Linked DNA regions of Lytechinus pictus. The protein of the gene in region 2 interacts with the protein of the main gene of each other region in a pairwise test. Links are inferred from orthologs where the notes say so. Each region holds a gene or a part of one and is shown on either strand. Other genes may lie near its edges. The genes, in order: recombining binding protein suppressor of hairless-like, COP9 signalosome complex subunit 5 and histone deacetylase 11-like.

Region 1 (7,315 bases), on a different chromosome or scaffold from region 2:
ACAAAAGGTAAAAATGCGCTGCTTATCTTTGACGACACAAATTTAAAATTTTAAAATTTGGGTTATTGTTTGCCCCCCCCCCATCACTTGATAAGATTAATAACAATATTCAGTTGTTATATAACATGTATCACATACCATTTAACGTCTCATTGTGATTCCAAAGGACTTAATATGATTAAGTTCCCCAATGGATGGAAAATAATGACCCCCCCCCCCCCCCCCCATTGTAGATTTGTGAACTTTCCTTGATCATTATTTTGTCTTCTTCTTTTCTCCTTTGTTGGTGCTTGTCAAACTTCAGAGAAAATGTGAACTGTAAACAATTTCTTAGAGAAGACATTATTAATGGGGTAACAGTTTACTCACTTCATCAAGGGGGATGGGGATTGGTTGCTAAAGGAATGCCAAACAAAATGGGGAAAAAATCGCATACCCCCCTTAAAAAAAACCAAGAGTGCTGGTGGATAAACCTATTTCTATTGTACTAGTAATTGAACTATGCTGGGGCAATGGGACCCCTCCCAGGTATTTTCGGGGTAGGTTACAGCACTGCCCCCCCCCCCCGATAGGGATACTCCGGGCTGAAAATATTTCAAAGAGAGTAAAATTCACAAAGCAAAATGCTTCAATTTTCATCAAATTCGGATAACAAATAACGCAGTTATTGAAATTTAAAGTTTAGCGATATTATTGTGAAAACAGTTAATATGCACGTCATCATGAATATTCATTAGGTGGGCTGATGATGTCACATCCCCACATTCCTTTTTCTTATGTTATCACATGAAATTATAATTGTTTCATTTTCTCTTACATGACTGTGTTAATAAAGTGTCTCCATTATCATAAGTTGCAGCAATAAATAACTAATGCACTTAATCAGTTGTCAATCCAATTGATTTAGTGCTTGGTAGAAAAACAATTTGAATAAACCTAACTTCAAAATACAAAAGAACAATTGGGGATATGACATCGTCATTTTGCTCACTGAATATTTACGAAGACATGCCAAGAACTGTTTCACCGGAATAATGCAAATCTTAAATATCCAATAACTTTGTTTTATTTGTTATCCGATTTTGATCAAATTTTCCGCATTTTGCTTTGTGAATTTTACTCTATTTATATTTATTGAATATGAATATTGTCAGCCTGGAGTATTTAATAAAATGAGCTTTTGTTTAGGATTTTTTTTTATCTCTACCCCCCCCCCCCCCGAAATAAAATAATATCCTGTTCCATCGTCCCAGTAGTGTATTGAAATCAAATTAGTAATATATCTCTATGATTCACCCGACACCATTGAGATCTCCACACGGAAAAAAACAAAGCAATCATCGATCGTAAAACTGAGATGATTTAGAATCTTCAACACGAGATGGCGGTATACAGTTTAGGAGCAATCCCATTATGAAGTTCGATGACGAGAATTATAGTACCGATGTTTAAAGGTCAAGTCCACCCCAGTAAAGTTTTTTTGTATTAAGTATTTTTTAATGACAACTTCAATTCATATACAAAATAAAAAAACAAACAAATAGAAGTTTGATGTCTTTACAAATTCATTAACACCTTGACAACTCATAAATTTAACACTATTTTTCTTAAGTGTTACAATAAAACACAACATCAGACATCTTCCAATACATAATTATAGATAATAATAATTATACATTACGAATAAGCTTCTACAATAAATTCAACATATTCATTTTTTTTCCAGTGTCAAATATTAATGATGATGATGTCACATCCACACTTGTTCTTTTGTATTTTAGTATATGAAATTAGGTTTATTCAAATTTTTTCCTCCAAGAACTAGAAAAATTGGATTGACAATTCTTGCAGCAATAATGCACTAATATTCATTGCTGCAACTTATTTCATTTTAAGGGAGACATATTATTCACACAAGTATGAAATAATGAAAAATTTATGATTTTATGTAATAACATAAGAAAACGGAAAATGGGGATGTGACATCATCAGCCCACCTAATTAATAAGTCAAATTGCTAAACTTTAAACTTCAATAATTTTATTATTTGTTATCCGATTTTGATGAAATTTGGGCCGGGGGCATTTTGCTCATTGAATTCTACTCTATGTATTAAGATATCAATATTTTCAGCCCGGACCATCCCTTTAAGGGTATCAAAAACACCGATTAAAAAAAGTATAGTTTTGAAAGACTGGTCAATGGTCAATTGCAGGGTGAAATGTATAAATTTAGGGAATGTTTTTTTCAAAAGCTTTTTTTTTTGTTAAGGCTAGCCAAACGTGTTTAGGGTATTTTCCCTCCAAGCTTTTTCCCCGGGGTCATATTCTGGCAACAACTTGTTTAGGGGCCAAAATGTGTATATAAAGCCTGCGAAAACTTGTGTAGGGGATTATTTTGCACACAGAGAAAAACTCGGGGGTGTTTGGAAATAATTTGGCCACGCGTGTGTACAGCAATACATTTGACTGCCCCCCCCCCCCCCCGTGATAAAATGGGGGGAAATGCTAGTTGTTTTGAGAAATTTATTATAGTGTATCCTGTCTGCAGATATACCGAAACAGTTTATTCCGGGCAGGCCGCTGTCTCAGAAATGCTACCTCTGTTTTTTTTATATTTTTTTTATTTGCAGTTACTGATTTATCGACAGGGGCGGTGGCATGTGCTATATTTGTTGGCAAAATAACCTATACAGATGAGATGACGTCATTTATACAAGACCAATTAATAAGACAGAAGACAACATGTGATGTCATCATTCCTTCTATGAGCCATGCCGTATAATATGACTGTTTTCTTTTTTATCGACTTAATTGTCTTATAGAACTTTTTAATTTGACACCTGATTTTATTTTAGTGATCATGTATTCTTGAAACACGCCTGTAAAAATATGATTAAAAAAAAACAAACGGAAAGCCAATTTAGTAATGGTTCCTCGAAATGGGTGTGCGGGGCAGTGGTGTAATTTTCTGCCCGAGCAAAAAAAAAAAGGCTCAAGTAATTGAATGAATGAATTAATAGATAAATAATAGAACAAATAAATGAATGAATACATAAAAAATCAATAAAAAACGAATGAACAAATCATTGAAATCAAGAAATCAATACTCAAACAAATAAATCATAAAAAATAACAGAAAATGAAATACGGTGGGGGGTGCTCATCCCCTCACCGTCCTGACGTGCCCCCTATAATTTTGACGTCAAGGTGGTTTAATCAAATTATATCGTATTTAAATGAACGATAATAATGATACTGATATAAGAAAGATTACTGTTAATTACTGTTCATTTATATTTCATCCGTTTTTCTTCTTTATTTATTAATATTTAGTGGATTTTGTTCTTATATTTTTAATCATTCCAATCTCACAAATAATTATTTTTGTTACATTTTTTTCACATTCAGAATCAGAGAGAAAGAAAGGAGAATAAAGTGACAAAAATCGTGATCTCTGTGGTGTCATTTTTTTGACAATAATGGCCTGATACGATGTCCCATATTTTTTTTCTCCTTCAGAGAATTGATCGAAGGGGCCGCCTCCGCCCATTTACACAAGTTCAATTTGCCCTGAACATGACTGTCAACTAGGTCGCGCAGTTCCGAAACCATTGTGTACTGGGAATTTGAAGATGTAAAAGAAGTTTCTTTGTGCCTGGGTATGGTCGCTGCACAATCATGGACTAGTCGATTATGGGGTTCCACAGAATTAAATTAAAAAATAGAAAACATATATTGTTCTGCATAATTCATAAAGAACTGTATGGATAAGAATGTTAAAAGACTTAAAGGCAGGCAATCATTCTTTTAGTCAGAAATATTGATATTAGGGAAGTTCATTTAAAACGACAGGTTCATAATTCTCCCTAAAAATAATGGACGCGTCCACCAGCCTTGCCTGGGAAATCTGTATGCAAATTAGGCATTTGCCTTTTTATCCACATGTCCCCTCTGAGGAAGCCAAGGTCAACATTGGAATGAACTTTTTTTTACTCGATGTTGAAATAAACTGTAAGCTATTCCCAGATCAACGTTGTTTTGGGGTCGAAACATATCCTCCTTGCAAATCTTTAGTAATGGCAACTCGAGAACGGGTAGCGATGTTTTGTTTGAGATTTTAATCCGAGACACACAACAGTGTAGGGCATGGGAAAAACAGGAGGTCTATCGCATTGTTCGAAACCAACTGCAGGGCAGCGAACAAAGGCCGAGTCGCCCTTGTCTGACCCCGTTATCTAATCCAGGGGGAGGGTAGTTTCGATGGGAACAGCCATTCCCACGGCTCATAATCAACTATGTAAAGTTCCCACGGTGTGCTTTTCAGGACCGAAACAAGCGGTTGCCAATTTCACAAGTGATTTTCGTGGACGATTTTCAGCTGGTTATTTGATTATTTTTCTTAAAATATTTCATATTCTTGTAGTAACTTGTATTATTAAAATATTAACAAGAATTTAAGAATTATTTATGATATTTAAAGAATTAGAAACGCCATTTAAATTCATACAAATTTCTATAAATGTATTTCTAAATTGTATTACGCAAATTGATCGTGGGAATTTGCCGAGTGGGTGAGAAGATTCGCCCAAATTAACGCGAAGTTGGTGTCTGGAGCTGGAAGAGGACTCCGTAAAAAGTGGTGCAGAAACTTTTCGTCATAATTGGATTTAATGCGGTAAATATATGATTATCGTTGCTTATAAGGTTAGAAGTGAAGAATGGTTGTTGTGGATGATGTTCAGAGCGTTTGATCATGTTTTGTAAGATTAGAGGGTTAACTATGAGAGAGATGAACTTGCGAATGGTGATGATGCGATGCCGATGAGGGTGACAAGTGCAGGCCCTGTGCAACGCAGTGGTCGTGATCTATGCACTGGGCCTGGCTTGCGCTTGCGGCTGATTGTAGCAGGAGCGAACTACGCTGCACTCTGGTCTCTGCAATGCGCTTGGCGGTGATTTTATACATTGCAATTGGTAATCCTTATACGGTAAGCTATGACACAGGTAGAGAGTACTAAAATGTCAGAAATTGTTCAATAAATCCCCAGTAATCCCCAGAACGGGGGGTTATTCTTGTCTAGTCTCTGTCACGATTATTATTTTGGCAGTACGGTAGTGTGATTAAAAAAAGAGAGGAAAAGTTACAGCATTTCTGGGTGACCATAACTTGCGCACATTTTAAAAATTATCATTAAGTTAATATTCAATCGAAAATTTCTCACAATTCATAAATAATCAACTCGTAAATACCATAACGAAAGGCAAGATCCCAGACTAGAAATAGAAATTGCTCGATGGAATTATAAAATAAGGATTAAGGTCATTGTTTTGCTGGTATCGTTATCTCAAAATTCTATGGCGATCAACCAGCTTGTGCGCTCGGCTGAAAAAGTGTCATGAATCAGTGTGACCTTAAAGGAGAATGAAACCCTTGAAACCAGCTGAATCAGATCAAAGAGAAAAATCAAAGAAACATATTGTTGAAAGTTTGAGGAAGATTGAATGAATAATAAGAAAGTTATGAGCATTTGAATATTGAGATCACTAATGCCATGTAGATCCTCCCATTGGCAATGCAACTAAGATCTGTGATGTCACACATGTACAACTCCCTCATTACTTTAGTACTTATTTCACTTATATTCTCACTTTCATAGAGTCTATCACAAGGTGAGGTGTTCTCTTTATGAGAGGACAAGTACAGAGGTTTCACAACATTATATCACTGATGAATCGTTTGTCATATGATTAGAATGAGCAAAAAGAGATGTTTTTGGGTATATTTTCAGTGTCCAAAAGGGGAGAGTTGTTCATCTGTGACATCATAGATCTTGGCCGCATTGCCAATAGGAGGATCTCCATAGCATTAGTGATCTCGACATTCAAATGCTCATAATTCTTCTATTGCTAGTCCTATTCCTATTTTACTCACACTTTTGTTGATCTTGTTCTTTGATTTTTCTGCTTTTACAAAAGCTAACTTGCTCCAAGAGTTTCATTCTTCTTTAATTTGCGCTTGATACTTTTGCAATGCTTTGAATTAAAAAGAAGTCTAGGAGTAGGAGACATACATGTTATTGTACCGTATCAGATGGAGGTTGAATGCCATAAAATCGGTTGGTATCACATTTTACTTACTTTGAAGACCTCTGCCTGCAAAGTGGCGATTTCTTGATGCTTGTCGAGAATTTCTGATTTTCTCGTAACAGATCTGGGAAGACCAGCTAATAATCTATAGCTTTTTTAATAAAAAAAAAAAAAATTCACCCTGAAAAAAAGTTGGTTAAAAAATAAAAAATAGAGAAAAATAAAGAATAAGAGAGGTGGTTTTTACTTTCTTTATATTTTTTAATTTTTTAATTTGTGATGTCATACATGTATGTATGACTATGAGCAGTTCCTCCAAATATAAATTTCAATATTATGATGGAACACGATGAGTTAATAGAATATTTTTCTTATAGAAGGGGGCATGAAATTGGAGTAGTATGTGTCTGATCATCACTGTATGGAGGCAAAAAATTAAGTTTTCATTTTTTGGGGCTTGCTTTCACAACATACTGCAGGGGCTGTGGAACAGTTTTCAGAGTGGGGGGGGGGGGGGCTTGAGCCAAAAATGGAGGGGGCTGACCATGCAAAAAATCACAATCCTATTGTACTTTTTACGTTTTTGACTTTTTGTACACGGTTTTGGAAAAAAAGGGGGGCTGAAGCCCCCCCCCCCCCGCTTCCGCGGCCCCTGTACTGCCTGCATGTAAATCTGCAACATTGGATAAGCTGCAGCATTGCATGCAATGAATGGGGATTTCCGCTTCGACCGCAAAGCATCTGCTCTTTCCGCAATGCGTCCGCTTCGCAATTATTCCCCGGTGACCCATTTGGAGCTGTCATCCACTTCCAACCGCAATGCTACCGTTGAACAACCTTTTATTACATTCCCGCTACATACTGCCCATGTCCGTCCTTTTCGCAAATTTTCACAAATTTTGTCCATTTCTGGTGCGGATGAAAACGGATGGAGCCCCCCCCCCCTGAAATTTTGCTCGTCTGCTGGGTCTTGTATGGGTATAAAATTTCCATTTCGCCCACTGCCAGCTCATCCACTCACCACATGGTCTACATGTACCTTCAAAGTCTAATGCCATTCCGTCCATCAATATTTTGTCTAACAACCATTTAGTCCAAAACCATCACGTTTAGTCCAAAATCATCACTTTGTCTAATCACCAGTTCGTCTATCATTTTCATTTCATTTTCAATTTTCATTTATTTTATTTCAACACGGTAAACGAACTTCAGCCAATGGCTGTTCT
Region 2 (6,990 bases):
TTTTCTTAGTATACAATGTCAACAGGTTAATAATATTATGTATTAGATTTATATAAATCACTTTCTGTCGTAATGAGATGCACAACGCGCTTCAGAACAAATAAGATACTGAAGAACCATCCCCCAAAAAAAACAATAGCAAAAAAAAAAAAAAATTACTAGTTTGAAATTTAAGAAAGAGTGTCTAAATGGATGTCTGTCAAAAAGCAGTGTTACCGTATACAGATCAGTATGTGCATGTTGGTTCTCATTTGTCTGTATTATGGAGTAGTTATATAGACCTTGTCAAAATATCTCCCCATCGTTAAATTCATTTGAATGTTAACAAAGATTGATTCTGTGTGCAAAACACGTATCGTTTTTTTGTCTATATGATATGAATTTGAATAATTATTACTATTAAGGTTTTCGAACAGGGAAGTCTGCCTAAGTCAAAACTCTTTGGACCACCGAAATTTGTGTTTGATGTAGAAGAAATTTGATGTGAAAAGGTAAATACATCACATACTTTTCACAATCTAGCTTCCACATAGGCAATTATTTGGTACGTATCTGCCAAGCATAGAATGAGCAAGATGAAGTCTTTGATTATGCAGAAATTACCATCTTAAAATGACAAGTATGTTGCAAAGTTATAGGGAATAAAGATAAATTTAAACCAGGAAATCGCCACAAAGCTTCATTGTATGCAACTTGTGTTTCAGATTTGGACATAGTAGAATAACATGTGAAGTCAAAATATTTTGAACAGTATTTTAACAATAGATGCATCCTTTGATTTACCACATGTTCGAATACTGGGCAGTTATCCCTATTCCCCATTGCCTTGGCTATGCAGAATTTGGGGATTAGAAGTGGAAAATTTGCTGAATGTAACATTTTCTGATGTAAGCCGCATCATCTAATGTCTCTATGGGCTTCCAAAGGACTTTTGTTATACCTTTGACTTAGTGTTGGAAGCTGTTTATAGACTATAGAGTACACAAGCATTTTAAGGAATTCATTTTTGCCAGGTACATAATGAATAAATGATGCAATTATTGATGAATGTATTGCTGAGAGACATTAGTGCTGCAGCAGGGAGTTGAACCTGAAACCTTGTGATTCAGTTGTGGAGACTTATCCACTGGACCACAATACCTGTACACACAGTGGCTCGGGCTTTTATTTAAGGTACCTTGAGTTAAGTTTTGTTCGTCCTCTTTGAAATTGACATTCCAGTTGTATCAAGCCATAAACCAAAGTTATCATTCAGCATTCCCCAAATCTTGGACAGAATATTTATATTTTAGTTTGTAGGCAAAGGGTTAGTTCATTTTGAGATAACCAAGCAGGGGTAGACTACAGAAAACATTGAAATCTCTAGTCTAGTGTCTGATCTTCTGATCATACATGAGGCATTTCCTATTCACTCTGGGGGTCTGGGGAAGGGAGTTGCTCACTCTTTCACAGTGGCGCCAGAGCACTCTGGGGCCATTTCATAAGAATTTAAGCTAGGGTAACTATTCCTTTAGAACAACAATGGTTACAGGGCTCAGCAGCCAATCACAATCAAGATTACCATGGTATTTACAATAATCTAAAAGCTATCGTAGGTGTAGTTGTAAACTGTTTATGAAACAAGGGCCGGGTGGGTGTTTCATAAAGCAGATCGTAAGATACAAATGACTTTACGCACGACTGGTGATCCTTTCTTGTGCTATGTGATATCTATACATGTATGTAATTGAGTTATGACCTAAGAACTTGTTCCAGTCGTGCGTAAAGTCGTTCATAACTTTACGATCAGCCTTATGAAACACCCACCAGGTCAGGCAAAGGTTTGGAAGGGCAAGCCATTGTGTGTTGACAACGGTTCAACCTTCCAAACTTGTTGGTTTAGAGCATTCAGACGCCACTATTGTCTAACATTATTTTTGGTAACAAAATTCCAACTTTATATGGAATATTACACAGATGTTATATAGAGAATTATGTAATTGAGCATATTGTATTCCAGGGAAGTCTTTGCCAAGAAATGTGTAATTGTTGAAGTATTCATTGTATATTTATTTGCTTGTGATATATCATATTGAGAATTCTTCTACCAATGTCTTCTTCAATTGGAAATATTTATCGACATATCAATATTTATTTTGAATTATTACCGTTAGCCGTGGTGACTTTAGATACAAGGGGCACGCAAGGGTCTTGGCAAGGACCGGTCTTTCGTGTTACCCATGCGCTGTATGAGGCGCTTTCTAGTAATGTAATTAAATCAGCACCACGAAAGACGGTCCTTGCAAAGCTCTTTTGTGCGATCAGCCCTAGGAGGCTCTGAATCAACTTTAGATAAAGATATCCTGCAACCTATTTTTTTCAAAATAAATTTTTTCGTGTGATATCATGAGGCTGTACATGTATTTTATAAATGACAAGAAGGTGAATATCATTGGAGGGGGGGGGGGGTAGTATTACGGATATCGTTATCCAGAAGTTTGTCAATAGCCACTCAGGAGTCGGGGATGGAGTTTCACAAAGATGTTTGTAAGTCATGCACAACTTTGTGTATGTCATTTATAAAGTCATTCTTAAATTACAATCAGCTTTATGAAACAGCCTTCTGGTGTATGAAGTGCCACGGTTGAGGGTACTACTAAAAAAGTGAATGAATTTAGCTGTGATTATTCAAGATATATTTTGTGCTAAGTACTGAAAAGTGACTTTACTGAAACCTTGATTATTGTGAGAATTCCTAATGAATGGCTTACAATTAGAATGTGTGTGTGTGATTCCAAATGTTTATAATAGAAGTGTCTTAAAAAGTTGTATAGATCAGTCGGTTGTGAGTATAATTTAATGTTCAGTATGCGTACATGTATAAATGAACTTGATTAAAAGTACTTGATAAAGCAATTTCTTTTGTGACAATGAAATTAAAGAATATTAATTAAAGAGACAGTGATACTGTTTTCTTAAAAATGAGAAAAAATATTATGTGATGTGTTGTTTCTGGTGTGCAATTATGCATAAGCTGTCTTGTATTCGATAGCAAATTAGAAATTTTACTTAATTGATGGGCCTGTTTCGTAAAACTTTTTTATAATAGCAAATTTGCAATAACAGTTAAAAGTCACTGAAATCTTTCAATCTGATTGGTTGATAGTCTATTTGGTATAGATATTGTGTATTTGCTATTATAACAAGTCTTTACAGGACCCTGTTCCTCATTTAAGAGCATTATGTTAAAAGAGCAAATATTATGAGGAAAAAACTTTGGTTTGATCAACACAGCACCCCCCCCCCTTTCCCCAATAAATAGATGAATACAGACCGCAAGGCAGAAAAGTTGGCCTATATGGTCTTCAGATTGAGCTGCCAAGTAAAAAACAAGTAAGATTTTTGAGCCAACCCCCCCAAATTACCTAATTTCATAGTTGTTTTCTTTTTCCTTTTTTTTTGCTTGTCAAACTTCTTGGTACCAAATTGACCTTCATTTTGTACTGAAGTCTTTTTTTTTTTGCTTGTCAAATTTCTCGGTCAAACCCCCTCTGTAAAACGCTAGACCCACCCCTGTAATCACTTCTGTATCACCATTTGAAACCCGCCTCGATGTGATAGCATGGTGTGCTTGTGTAATCATAAAAGTTCAGTGGATTTTGAGTCGTTTTTGTCTGTATGTTTTTTTATGTAACAACATATGTATAGTAAGTAACTTATGGTAATGACACAGGTAGCATCCCTCAGTTGTATCTCCTTGTTATACATTATGTGTCTCCTCAGTTCCAAATTTTACTGACTTGGGTAGCGGAACTGTGATTAATATCATTAAAAAAAATGCAACTATAATGATTATGTATGAATAGTGTATATGTTATATTGAAGAATGTACTTGGACAATCCCTTCTTCATATTTAATACCTAACATTTTTTTTTCTTGGGGGGGGGGGGGGCGGGGGTCCACATAAAAAAGGCAGAGCTGGTCAAATTAGAACTGCTTTCTTTCTTTCTGCTTGTCAAAATTTCTTGGATGACAATGTCAACCATTTTTTCAAGTTAATCATTTTTTTCTTTTACTTGACAGATCTAGAAGGGCATTTAAAAAACTTACTGACCCCTTATTTATCTTCATCATCATGCTGACCCCTCAGATGGTTAAGGCATTTGTCAGAAATTTTGAAAGTTAAAATTAATTTCTTGTAATGTAATGAATATTGTGGGATGCATGGGGGGGGGGTCAATTTGTCAAATTTTCTCAAGTAGCAGAAAAAAAACGATGCCTGACAAAGAAATGGTGACTTGTTATTTCATTTTGCGGACAAGAAAAGAATTTGAAAGAAAAAATATATTACAGGCTTGCAACTACAATTGTCACTGAGCTTGATCACCAATATGCTTTCATTAGATACTGGTCATCGATCTGCATGTATTTGGCATTAAAAAACACACACAAAAAAGCCCCTCAAAAACGAAACCAAATCAAACAGATTCAGATTTTATAGTTCTCCCCCCTTCTTTCTCTTTCCTTGATGGTTTTAATGGCAACCATATATCATGACTATTTTGCCAATCAAAGCTGTAAAAAATGATATATAGTTTCTTTTTTTGTTCTCTCCTTCAGTTTGTTTCTTTTCTATTCCCTTATTTTTTTTTTCATTTCTCTTTATATCTTCTATGAATTTTTTTCTCTCTTCTTTTCATTTTTTTTTTTGTTTTATCTATTTCTGTTCTTTTTTGTTTCCTTTTCTTTCTAGCTTTCCTTTCCTTTTTTCCTTTCCTTTTATTCCTTTTATTCTTTTCCTTTCTTTCCTTTTCTTTTCTTTTTCTTTTTCTTTCCTTTTCTTCTCTTTGCTTCTCTTCTCTTTTCTCTTTTGCCTATTTTATTATTATTAATTTCAGAAAAATAGGGGCTAACTCATAGAGATATAATTAGTATACATCTCTATGGGCTAACTCCAGTGACGACCTTGACTTTTCTCTCTGCGAAATTCTGAAGAAAATAGGTGACATGGATCGTGAGATAGCCCAAAAGACATGGGAAATGTCTAATAACGTTGAACTTGTTCAAAATGTTGATGAGATTTACAAGTACGACAAGAAACAACAACACGAGATACTGCAAGCAAAACCATGGTCGAAAGAGTAAGTTGTCCTCCCACAGTCAGACTAGTCCCAACCGTTGCAATCTGTGTTGTAAATTTAAGAGGGGATAGGCTTGCCACTGGCTTGCCTTGGCCGGCCACTTCACAATTCTACAAAAACACTTTTTCTTCGCACGCCATGGCCATGGCACGGCTAACTTCTGACTTTGGCATTGACAGGGGGAATAGCCATGGAAAAAAAACCCTAGACCTAGTAGTAGATTAATAAACAAGAATGACTGAGGAATAGCATAGGCCCTACAGTTATTTTTCCTTTGTCTTTCTGTCTTTGCACTGTCTGTGTCTTTTTTATGATGATTCATGATTGATGATTTTGAAAATGAAGTTTTGTTTTACCTGAGCTGATCATGCGTCAACATTGTCTGCTTCTCATTTGTGATTTGGGTAAATGATAAGAAGATGTTCCTGGAAGCTCAGCTGTTGATATGTATGATGGGGTGACCATAATTTGCGCACATTTTAAAAATTATCATGAAGTTGATTTTCAGTCAAAAAATTCTCATAGTTCACACAAAATTAATCAAAATCATAAATACCAGATGGAAGGCAAAATCCCAAAGTCAAATTCGCTTGATGAAATTATAAAGTAGGTCAAGGGTTTCGCTCGTATCGCGATCTAAAAATTCCATGGCGATCGACTAGTGCGTGCTTGGCTGAAAACTTGCCATTAAAAAGTGTGACCTTAATTTGCGCACGATCATTTTGCAAAGCTTTAGAAAAGAAATCAAACAGACAAACGTAAGATAATTATATCAGATGGAGGTTAAAATGGCATAAATTCGGTTGGTATCACATTTTACTTATTTGGAGACCTCTGCTTGCGAACTGGCGATTTCTTGATGATTGTCGAGAAGATCAGATTTTCTCGGAGCGGACGTAAAAGGTAACAAAATTCCCCAATGATTTGCCAATATTTTCACAAATTGAGACCTTGCCTTCAACAAAATTACCATACTGGATAATTTTGGGTGGCTTTTCTGTTGGTTATATAAGTTTTTCAAGATATTAATTAGATAAAGAGATATTCGACTGTGCGCAAAATTAGGTAACGCGCGAATTAAGGTCACACCACCATACAACATTCTTCCAGTAATGAATTAAGTCATGTTGTAATCAAACAAAACTCAAAAAGTTTGCAGCCACCTGCTGGACTTCGGTTGATATTGTAAACCGAATCGCCATGTTTTTACTTGCACCCTCCACCTTTTTTTTTGTAAATAACCTCCAACATCCAACGTCACTGTCGGCCATTGACTGCACATGCACCCATCCCAGTTTAGCTTCAAGTATGAGCTGCAAAAGGGATTATTTCTTCAAGGTGCAAGGTTCTAACTGGCATTCCTAAAATCATCTGAGCATGAAATTATAGACATCTATTTGGAATTTATCAGACTAACACCTTTTGTTTATTTAGCAAAAGATCTAATGGTTGTTTAATAGGGTTGAGCTGTGCACAGCTGTTGCCTTGAGGAATGTTGGCGCTAATAATAGATTTCATTAACCGCAGAATTATGAAATTTTCACCCCTTTTTTCCAAGCTCTAATTAGCCAAATATTTGCGCAGATTTCACAGTCGCTATGATGAATCTCTGTCGGTGCATTGTCGACAGAATTCAAACCACATCACGCATTGGCTTCAATATTGATGTTATGGTTCTACTTCAAGTTTCATTTGCACTTCGTCTTCTCTGCCTTTTTATATATGGACTGAAGCTACATGTAGCTATCAAAATACATTCGTACCTGTCAGTTCCCGGCAAAACCTGTAATGGTACGATAAAACACCAGAAGGTGGTCTGTATTCTGAGAGGAAGAAGAAGGTTTCACTAAACATTTGCATCCTAGGATT
Region 3 (7,819 bases), on a different chromosome or scaffold from region 2:
AGAAAATGATGGATAACAAGAAAGGACACTCAGTCATTCAATCATGTTTAGATAACCACTCTTTTGAAGCTTTTCTGTATTCATCAACATTATTATAAAAAAATGTTTTATTTTTTTTTTTTTTTTAAGATTTTCTGCTTTATCATGCTGTTAAACGGGTGAAAAAAAATAGAATTTCACTTTAACATTGCCAAAATATCGGTAAAGTTACCAGGTATCGGTTTAATTCATTCAAAACAGTATTGTATGGCGGTACAATCTGAAAGGTTTACGCCAAAAGCATTATATTGATTACTCGTCCCCCAAAACCAACAAACATGTTTGAGTTTAAATAGGTGACAAGAACGGCTGGACAAAAGTCATGAAATTTAACGATTCAGTCATGTATAATTTAAGATATACTGTCAGGAAAAGGAAGCTTTGAATGATTTTAGGAGCTAAGGGCCATGAAAGATAGAATGAAGGAATTGTGATCTGGCCTGTCAGTTTTCGGAAGATTCAATCAATGAATGTTTTAAGGTTTATTCAAGAATTTGTGAAAGCCTGCCCTGAAAATCTGATACTTGAAACACATTTTTAACCTTTTCTGCCCCCTAAGAAAAGTGAAACGCATCGTACATGATTAAATCAACAAAATAAAATTCATGTCCCCTTAACAAAATATATGACATAAACATACACCCAGCTGCACATGCATTTACGGGGGTTGTCATTATCACGGAAGGACATAGCTCTGGAAGCAAATTCTCACTGAAAAAATGCTCCTTAATAATAATGAAAAATCAAACAAACTAAAGAAGAATTAAATAAAAACGCTAACAATAATAAGCAGAAAGGCTTCCTTTTCCCCTCTCACGCACACGCTCACACATTCAAACTCTAACCAATCTCTCTTCACTCTTCCTTTGATTTATCATCACCAAACACTCTCCAATGACCATCGTCATCATCATGGCCTTCATTTTCACCATTGTCACCGTCATCCTAATCCTCACCATCTCCATCTTCATCATTAAAATTATAAACAAATATTGCCATTCTGCTTTATAAATGTTTTAATCAATTTAATGAGTGTTAATCCGGGCTTGTCATTTTTGTTCAAAGCAACAATGACAATCCTCCTGCAAACTGTATATGTTGAAATTATTTGGTAGTAGATCAGATCTGTTTCGAATGACTTTTTATGTAGTTCATTTTTTTAATGATTCATGCCAAAAAACACTAAGCAATATATTATGTTTGTTATGTAATGAAACATGTATTACATATGAATGTTATGATTGAAGAAGAAAACAATGAAATCAACTCAAATCTCGTACCACACATCGCCTCAAACACACAAAAAAGGGAGTGAAGAGAAACAGAAAATTACGGAAGCTTGTAAGTGCCGTCTATATTTTATCGTGCCAAGCACTACATGGCAATTTGCCAACTATAATTTGAGTATGTTGCCATGTCGACTTCGAAATCATACATCTTACCATGGAGACGTCTTACCAAGTCGACTTTTAGACAGTTACATGTCGCAATGGCAATTTAGTAAACTTCAAAAAGGTTTATAGGTCGTCATGGCGACATAAGTCATTTCTCCAAGTCGACTTTTAGAGACTTAGATGTTGTCACATCATAGAGAGTAAAATGATAAAGTAAACTTCTGGAAATTTATACGTTGACATATGAACATAACTTATCTTTCTACATCGACTTTATAAGAACTTTGTCACTATGTCAGCATAATGAATTTTGTGAAGATGACATTTTTGACTTTTTTAAGAGCTTGAAAGAAAATGAAGAAAATAATTTCGGATATTCTACTAAGTGTAGTGAGGACTGGTACCAGGGGCGGCGATCCTAGCGGGACTGTGGCACAGCCCCCCTCAACTTTTTGAAGCACTGAAAAAGTGCCCTTTTTATGCGAGAAAAATGCCCCCTCAAAAACATGTACTGTGCCCCTTTCACATGCGGACACATTTTAGGTGTTACCAAGTGCCCTTTCTCTTTAATATAAGTGCCAATTAAAAAAAAACCTCTTGAATATGTTTTGTGCCCTTTCCACCTGAGAAGGACCTGTTTTATGTGTTAGCAAGTGCCATTTCTCGCATTAGTGCCCATTTTTACCCAAAATTGCCCCTCACGAACGTGTTCTTTGCCCTTTTCACCTGAGAAAGACCCGTTTTATGTGTTAAAGAGTGCCCCCTTGCCTTCTTGTAAGTGCCCTTTCTTGAATCAGTGCCCCTTATATGTATAACTACTCATGAAGGAAAACACTTGTAAGAATAATCCCGCGTGTCTTAAGTTTCATAAGCCATGTGAGTGGGGGTAGATAAGTCTTTTTTTCTTTGTTTTAAGATAGTGCCCTTTTCGAAAGAAAAGGTGCCCGTTTCCCCTGTGCCCCCCACTTTTAACTTAGCTCCGCCGCACCGCCACCGACTGGTATTCATATCACATAATAATATTTATCTTATCTAAATAAATAATATTCTGCCCTTTTAAATCCCCCTTACATGTAGCATCGGCTTCAAAAGAATGACTTTTAGATCAGGAGTAAATATTTTGTAGCTTGATGTAATTACTTCCAATTTCATAACACCTTGTCCGAAACAAGTACAATACTAAAAACTGTTTTGAAATCACGTTCATGCAAAATTAATGATTGCCGTGCGGTCCAATGAAACTAACTGGTCAGTTGGCTGAATATATACTCCTTGCTATCTACTGAAGATAACATTCAATTTTATCTTCAGTAGATAGCAATGAGTACATTAGACTTATTTGACGGTGTTGAAACGGGGTTCTACACCCGCTATTCTTGAAGATCGCTATAGTCGTAATCGGAAAAGGGGCCTTCATTCATAAAGGCCGCTGTTCATAATCACATGAGAGGGTCAATAATTGTAATTGAATAAGATGGTCGATAATATTAATCAAATAAGAGAGTTGCTAGTCATAATTTAATGAGAGGGTCGCTATATATTCACAAGCAAATAAGACGGTTAATATTCTTAATCAGGGTCAATAATCCAAATTTTTGATAGGATGTTCGATTGTCTTTATTAAATGAGATGGTTGCTATATACCTGTAATTGAATCAACCGATCAGGAGAAGGATATGCAGAAGCTAAATTCCATTTAATTTTACAGGCGATTTCAATTTATAATAACAGTCGTACCGTAAGTGAAACTGAAACGCATAGTACACACCTAAGTATGATGGAAACCCATGCAGGGGGGGGGGGTAATGTGACGGCATCCTAGATGCGAGAGGCGTAGCAACCGAGCCAGAAAATCGTTTTAATCAGTGAAACTTATACCATTATTTTTACCTTAAAAAGATACCCTGCATCGAAGGGACAATTATGATATACATAAGTTTAGAGACCGAAAGAAAGTCTACTATTTCATAAATGAAATTTAGAATTTTAAACCCCAAAAGCGCTGTGGAAAAGGGCAAGAATAATAATTTAGTTTTCGCCCGTCAACATGAGCGTTGTACCTACATGTACAACACAATACATAACAGTACTATTGATATTGTAGTAAAGAGATGAATGTATGTTATATGCCTGCGAGAGAGCGTAACGACCGTGTAAGAAATTTTGAGTTTATCTTGTGAAACTTTTGAACCCACGCAGGAATCAATTAGGGCACTTTAGTAGAAATTAGTACATTTACCCACGACACGGTAACCAAAGGGCCTAAAGTGAGACATTCCATTGAATGGGGCCTTTCTTCAGGAGTAGAGGTATCAAGTGTGTGTGTGTGTGTTTTTTTTTTTTTTGGGGGGGGGGCTATTTAATCTTGCACAAAAATGCCCCTTCATTGAATCTCTTATTGATAGGGTTCCAAGTGCCGAGTTTTGGGTCATTTGGTGAAAATAGCATATATATTATTTTGCTTATGATACGGTCTTGAAGGTCCAAATATATTCCAAGGTCCCCTCCCCAAATTTCCTATCACCAAAAGCAAAAATGATTTTTTTAAAAATGGGAAAAGGGTGAAATAATTTTTTCAAATTGTTGGAATCTAACACAAAATATGCTTATCATATTAAAGAACGTCAAAATGTTTGCTCGCTTGCTTCACTCGCTTGCAACATTCTAGAAATCTTGCTCCATAGGCCTATATGTTTTGCCCATTTCCAATGACAGAGCCCCGCCTCCAATTAACTCTTACAAGAAAATAATTAAAAGACGAAAGCCCTTAAAAACTGCGTGATAAGAGATACATAATCAAGCTGATATAATTATGTTATAACTTTCGACCATTATTTTGCTATAAAATATAGGCCTAGATAGGAATCCATTAAAAAGTTTTATGAATCTAGATTATTTCTACGCATCTTTTTTTTTTATCCAGCGTGTTTAAACAATAAAAATAACAATTATGCTTGCTTGAAACTAAGATTCATTTCATTATCATTCTATACAAACTTGCATACTTATATTAATACACAAAACAATATTCATTTTTGTGTATGTGCATAAAAAATATACATTTTCAGGGTTGAGAAGGCCGACCCTCCCCGCTTAGAAGGAGAGCCCCCATAATGGACCCCACATGCCTGTAGTCGTGAGTGCAGTGAGCTTTCCAAAAAATCTTAGTTTGATTGAAAAAGGAATGAATCCTAGCCAACATTTATGTAATAAAATAATGAATTAAAATTATAATATCAAGAAAAGGGAGGTGGAGAGTTTTGGTTTACCGAGAGTTTACATGACATCCATTGACAGGTACATGACGTCAATCATGAATATTCATTAGTACGGTACCGTAAATTTGGCGAACATACGGAAAAGCTGTGGCCTGTGCGAGTTATTAACGAACGGTCCTTTCCAAAACCCGGGCCCAGCGCGGCCCCGATCACGATTGTCTGATTTTCGCTAGATTGCATATATTGCGACGTATTTTGGTTCAGGTGCTACCAACGATGTTCCGTATAGGTCTACAATTTCTACAAATATGGCAGAATCTGGAGACAGTTTGCTAAAAACCACAGACGGAGAAGTTGTATTAACCGAAGGAGAAAGGAATGGGAATAGAGAGAGTAAACATTGGTAAGAAACACGAGAAATATTCTGACAAAAAAAAAATCAAAATCATAAATGGAGTCTGGACTCTGGAGATGATTAGACTCTTTTAACGTTAGAGCCGCCTATTTTAATTTTTAGGGAGTAAAATAATTCACTATTATTAAACGATAACGTGAGCTTACAATATGTTAGTGAATGATTTTTACTCTCTAACATTAGGAGCCTCCTGGCCAGGGGCGGAAATCTTTCCCAAAAGGTAGGGGGGACAAGGCAGGGCTGGAAAATTTGACAAGCAAAAAAAAAAAAGGTATCATCCCAAAAGTAAGGTCATCTCGTCCTAAAATACATGTTTTATTTCGATTTTTAATGATGTATTTCTTACCATCATAAAAGACCACAAATAGTACTTAGTAGGGGGGACATTTGATAATATTGTGTCCCCCTACTATTTTGAGTAGGGGGGACACGTCCCCCCTGGGATTTCTGCCCATGGCAGCTCCTGGCTAGGGATGACTATAGGTCTAGTCTAGAATCAAGATCTAAAAATTGTGACATTAAAACTCAGAGTCAAGAAAATAGTGTCATGTTTTTAGATGATTGATGGAGGGGGGGTGGGCGGAGATACCTGCCATTGGACAGTACAGTGACAGCATCCGCGACAAAGAAAACATGGGAAAAGGGGTGTGTATTTTGTGGGAAGGTGCGGAACATGAATAGGGGGTGTTGCAAGAAAATAATTGCAATCGCAAATATTCTGTTGCAATTCTACAGTTGATTGATCACTTTTAAAGATAAATTCCAGTTGTGGGAATGATCTCAAAATGACTTTTTACAGAATTTAATATAATGATCACCAAAGTGTCTGTTTGTATGAATAAAAAATATGTGCCAAAGGATTCTGGAAGAAATTGTGTAATTGCTGAGAAATAAGCAAAATAAGCGCGGATTCGGTCACTTCCTTCGGGTCTTTATTCCAGCAATAATAATACACTGTCCCACGTGTGCCTATCTGTGTCGGCGATCTTCAGTGTGATCATTTTTTTAGCTAGATATTATGATTCCACAAAGTTCAGTTTATGTAACTGTACCAGATCTAGATCCACGATGATATATCAATACTTTACCTTGGTTTTACAGACTTTCTCACGAAATCAGTGTTTTACTGCAACTACGTTCATTTAGCTTTAACAAATCAGATTACACTCCTTGTTTCATGGAGCAGATGAGCAATCAATTAATTGCATGGCGTATGATTGATTTCGGGAACGAAAATAGACTTGCAATTGATCGCAAGTTTCTTGCAACGCCCCAAATGAGGAAAAAAAGAAAAGTCCCCTAGATCTAGATCTCAATGGTCTGAAATGCGAACACTGATATGTCCGCACTCCGCACTCGAATATACTGTACCACTACCAAACACAGGGTATGTTTAGTGCATGCTGCATCAGTGGCCTGCATCAGTGGCCTCATTCACTCATGTTCAGTCATTGAATCACCCATGGAAACAACATGCGCTGCGCATAGAAAATCACAGGCACAACGCATGTAACACGTCCATGGGATTGTGTGAAATTCCAATGCCTAATCACTACATTAATAGATTTAAACTATAAACTTACCGAACAATATGAAGTCACTTTCCCGCTTTTTCATCCTTCTCTTGATTTTTCCAAATGATTTTTCTTGATGTTGACGAGAGCCATTTAACTGTCAAAGCGATATAGGAATTTTTCACCTTAAGAGGGTGCACAATTGACACTACATCATGGAAAAGATGAGGCACTCAAACTATTTTACTAGCAAATCAATGCAAAGTGTCATGCAAGTCGGCAATATGTTCAGTCTTTTCATTGTAGATCTATAGACTTTGGTATACCGTTTGTTGACAAACGAACAAAGGCATGTATGGTTGGAACTACCCCTTATCGACCACCTAATCTGCAAAAATATTTATCAGTTTTTCCTTATTTTTCACAAAACAGTGATATGCACAACTTGGTGAGTCAGTCGATGATGTCCATCACTCACTATTTCTTTTGTTTTTTATTGTTTGAATTATACAATATTTCATTTTTTATAGATTTGACAATAAGGACCAACTTGACTGAACCATATAGTATTAAACAATGCTAATTACACATGTTCAGGGAGGAATTAATTGTTGTATCACTTGACAATGAGGAGAAAATTATAATATTTCATATAATAAAATACAAAAGAAATAGTGAGTGGATGACGTCACAGTCTCCTCATTTGCATACCAGCCAGGATATATGTGCATATAACTTTTTGTGAAATTAAGCGAAAATTTTTAAAATGTCATAACTTTCTTATTTTACATCAGATTTTGATGAAATTTTCAGTGTTATGCTTGTTGGATTTTTCTCTTTTTATTCAAATAAACTTTTTGTTGGGGTGGACTTGTCCTTTAAGGATCCAGGCTATGCCTTGCCTACAACACACTAGTGTTAAAGGTGCAAGTGGAAACCAGTTGTTGTAGAGAAAGCCAATATGTGTAGCATTGGCTACAACACTGAACTTCTCAATGGCTAAATTGGCCACTTTGCATTCAATTATGAGAAGTTAAACTAAAGGTTAAACTAAATTTTTTTCAAATGAAAGTCCATCAACTTATATGTAGTTAATTATTTAACTATTAAACATGTATGCAAAGTACATGTATACTTTGTAGGCAGAGTTGACTTTTACTGTTTCTTGATGGTTCCTGCCATTTATACTCAATTCCAAATGTAATTGCATGTACAGTATTAAGAGCTCCCTACATACGT

The links.
Region 1: the proteins of COP9 signalosome complex subunit 5 (region 2) and recombining binding protein suppressor of hairless-like interact in a two-hybrid assay, tested with the Caenorhabditis elegans proteins (3 studies listed by BioGRID). The link is inferred for Lytechinus pictus from reciprocal best matches to the Caenorhabditis elegans genes csn-5 and lag-1.
Region 3: the proteins of COP9 signalosome complex subunit 5 (region 2) and histone deacetylase 11-like interact in a two-hybrid assay, tested with the Caenorhabditis elegans proteins (2 studies listed by BioGRID). The link is inferred for Lytechinus pictus from reciprocal best matches to the Caenorhabditis elegans genes csn-5 and hda-11.

What each region holds. Positions count from the first base shown.
Region 1 is NC_087250.1:10,336,252-10,343,566, reverse strand, and holds the start of recombining binding protein suppressor of hairless-like, read left to right. Parts: upstream 1-4,310; 5' UTR 4,311-4,677; intron 4,678-7,315. UniProt on the Caenorhabditis elegans protein: Transcriptional regulator that plays a central role in lin-12/Notch and glp-1/Notch signaling pathways, involved in cell-cell communication that regulate a broad spectrum of cell-fate determinations.
Region 2 is NC_087261.1:2,506,448-2,513,437, forward strand, and holds the start of COP9 signalosome complex subunit 5, read left to right. Parts: upstream 1-3,921; 5' UTR 3,922-4,987; coding exon 4,988-5,121; intron 5,122-6,990. UniProt on the Caenorhabditis elegans protein: Probable protease subunit of the COP9 signalosome complex (CSN), a complex involved in various cellular and developmental processes.
Region 3 is NC_087247.1:25,632,769-25,640,587, reverse strand, and holds the start of histone deacetylase 11-like, read left to right. Parts: upstream 1-4,759; 5' UTR 4,760-4,959; coding exon 4,960-5,054; intron 5,055-7,819.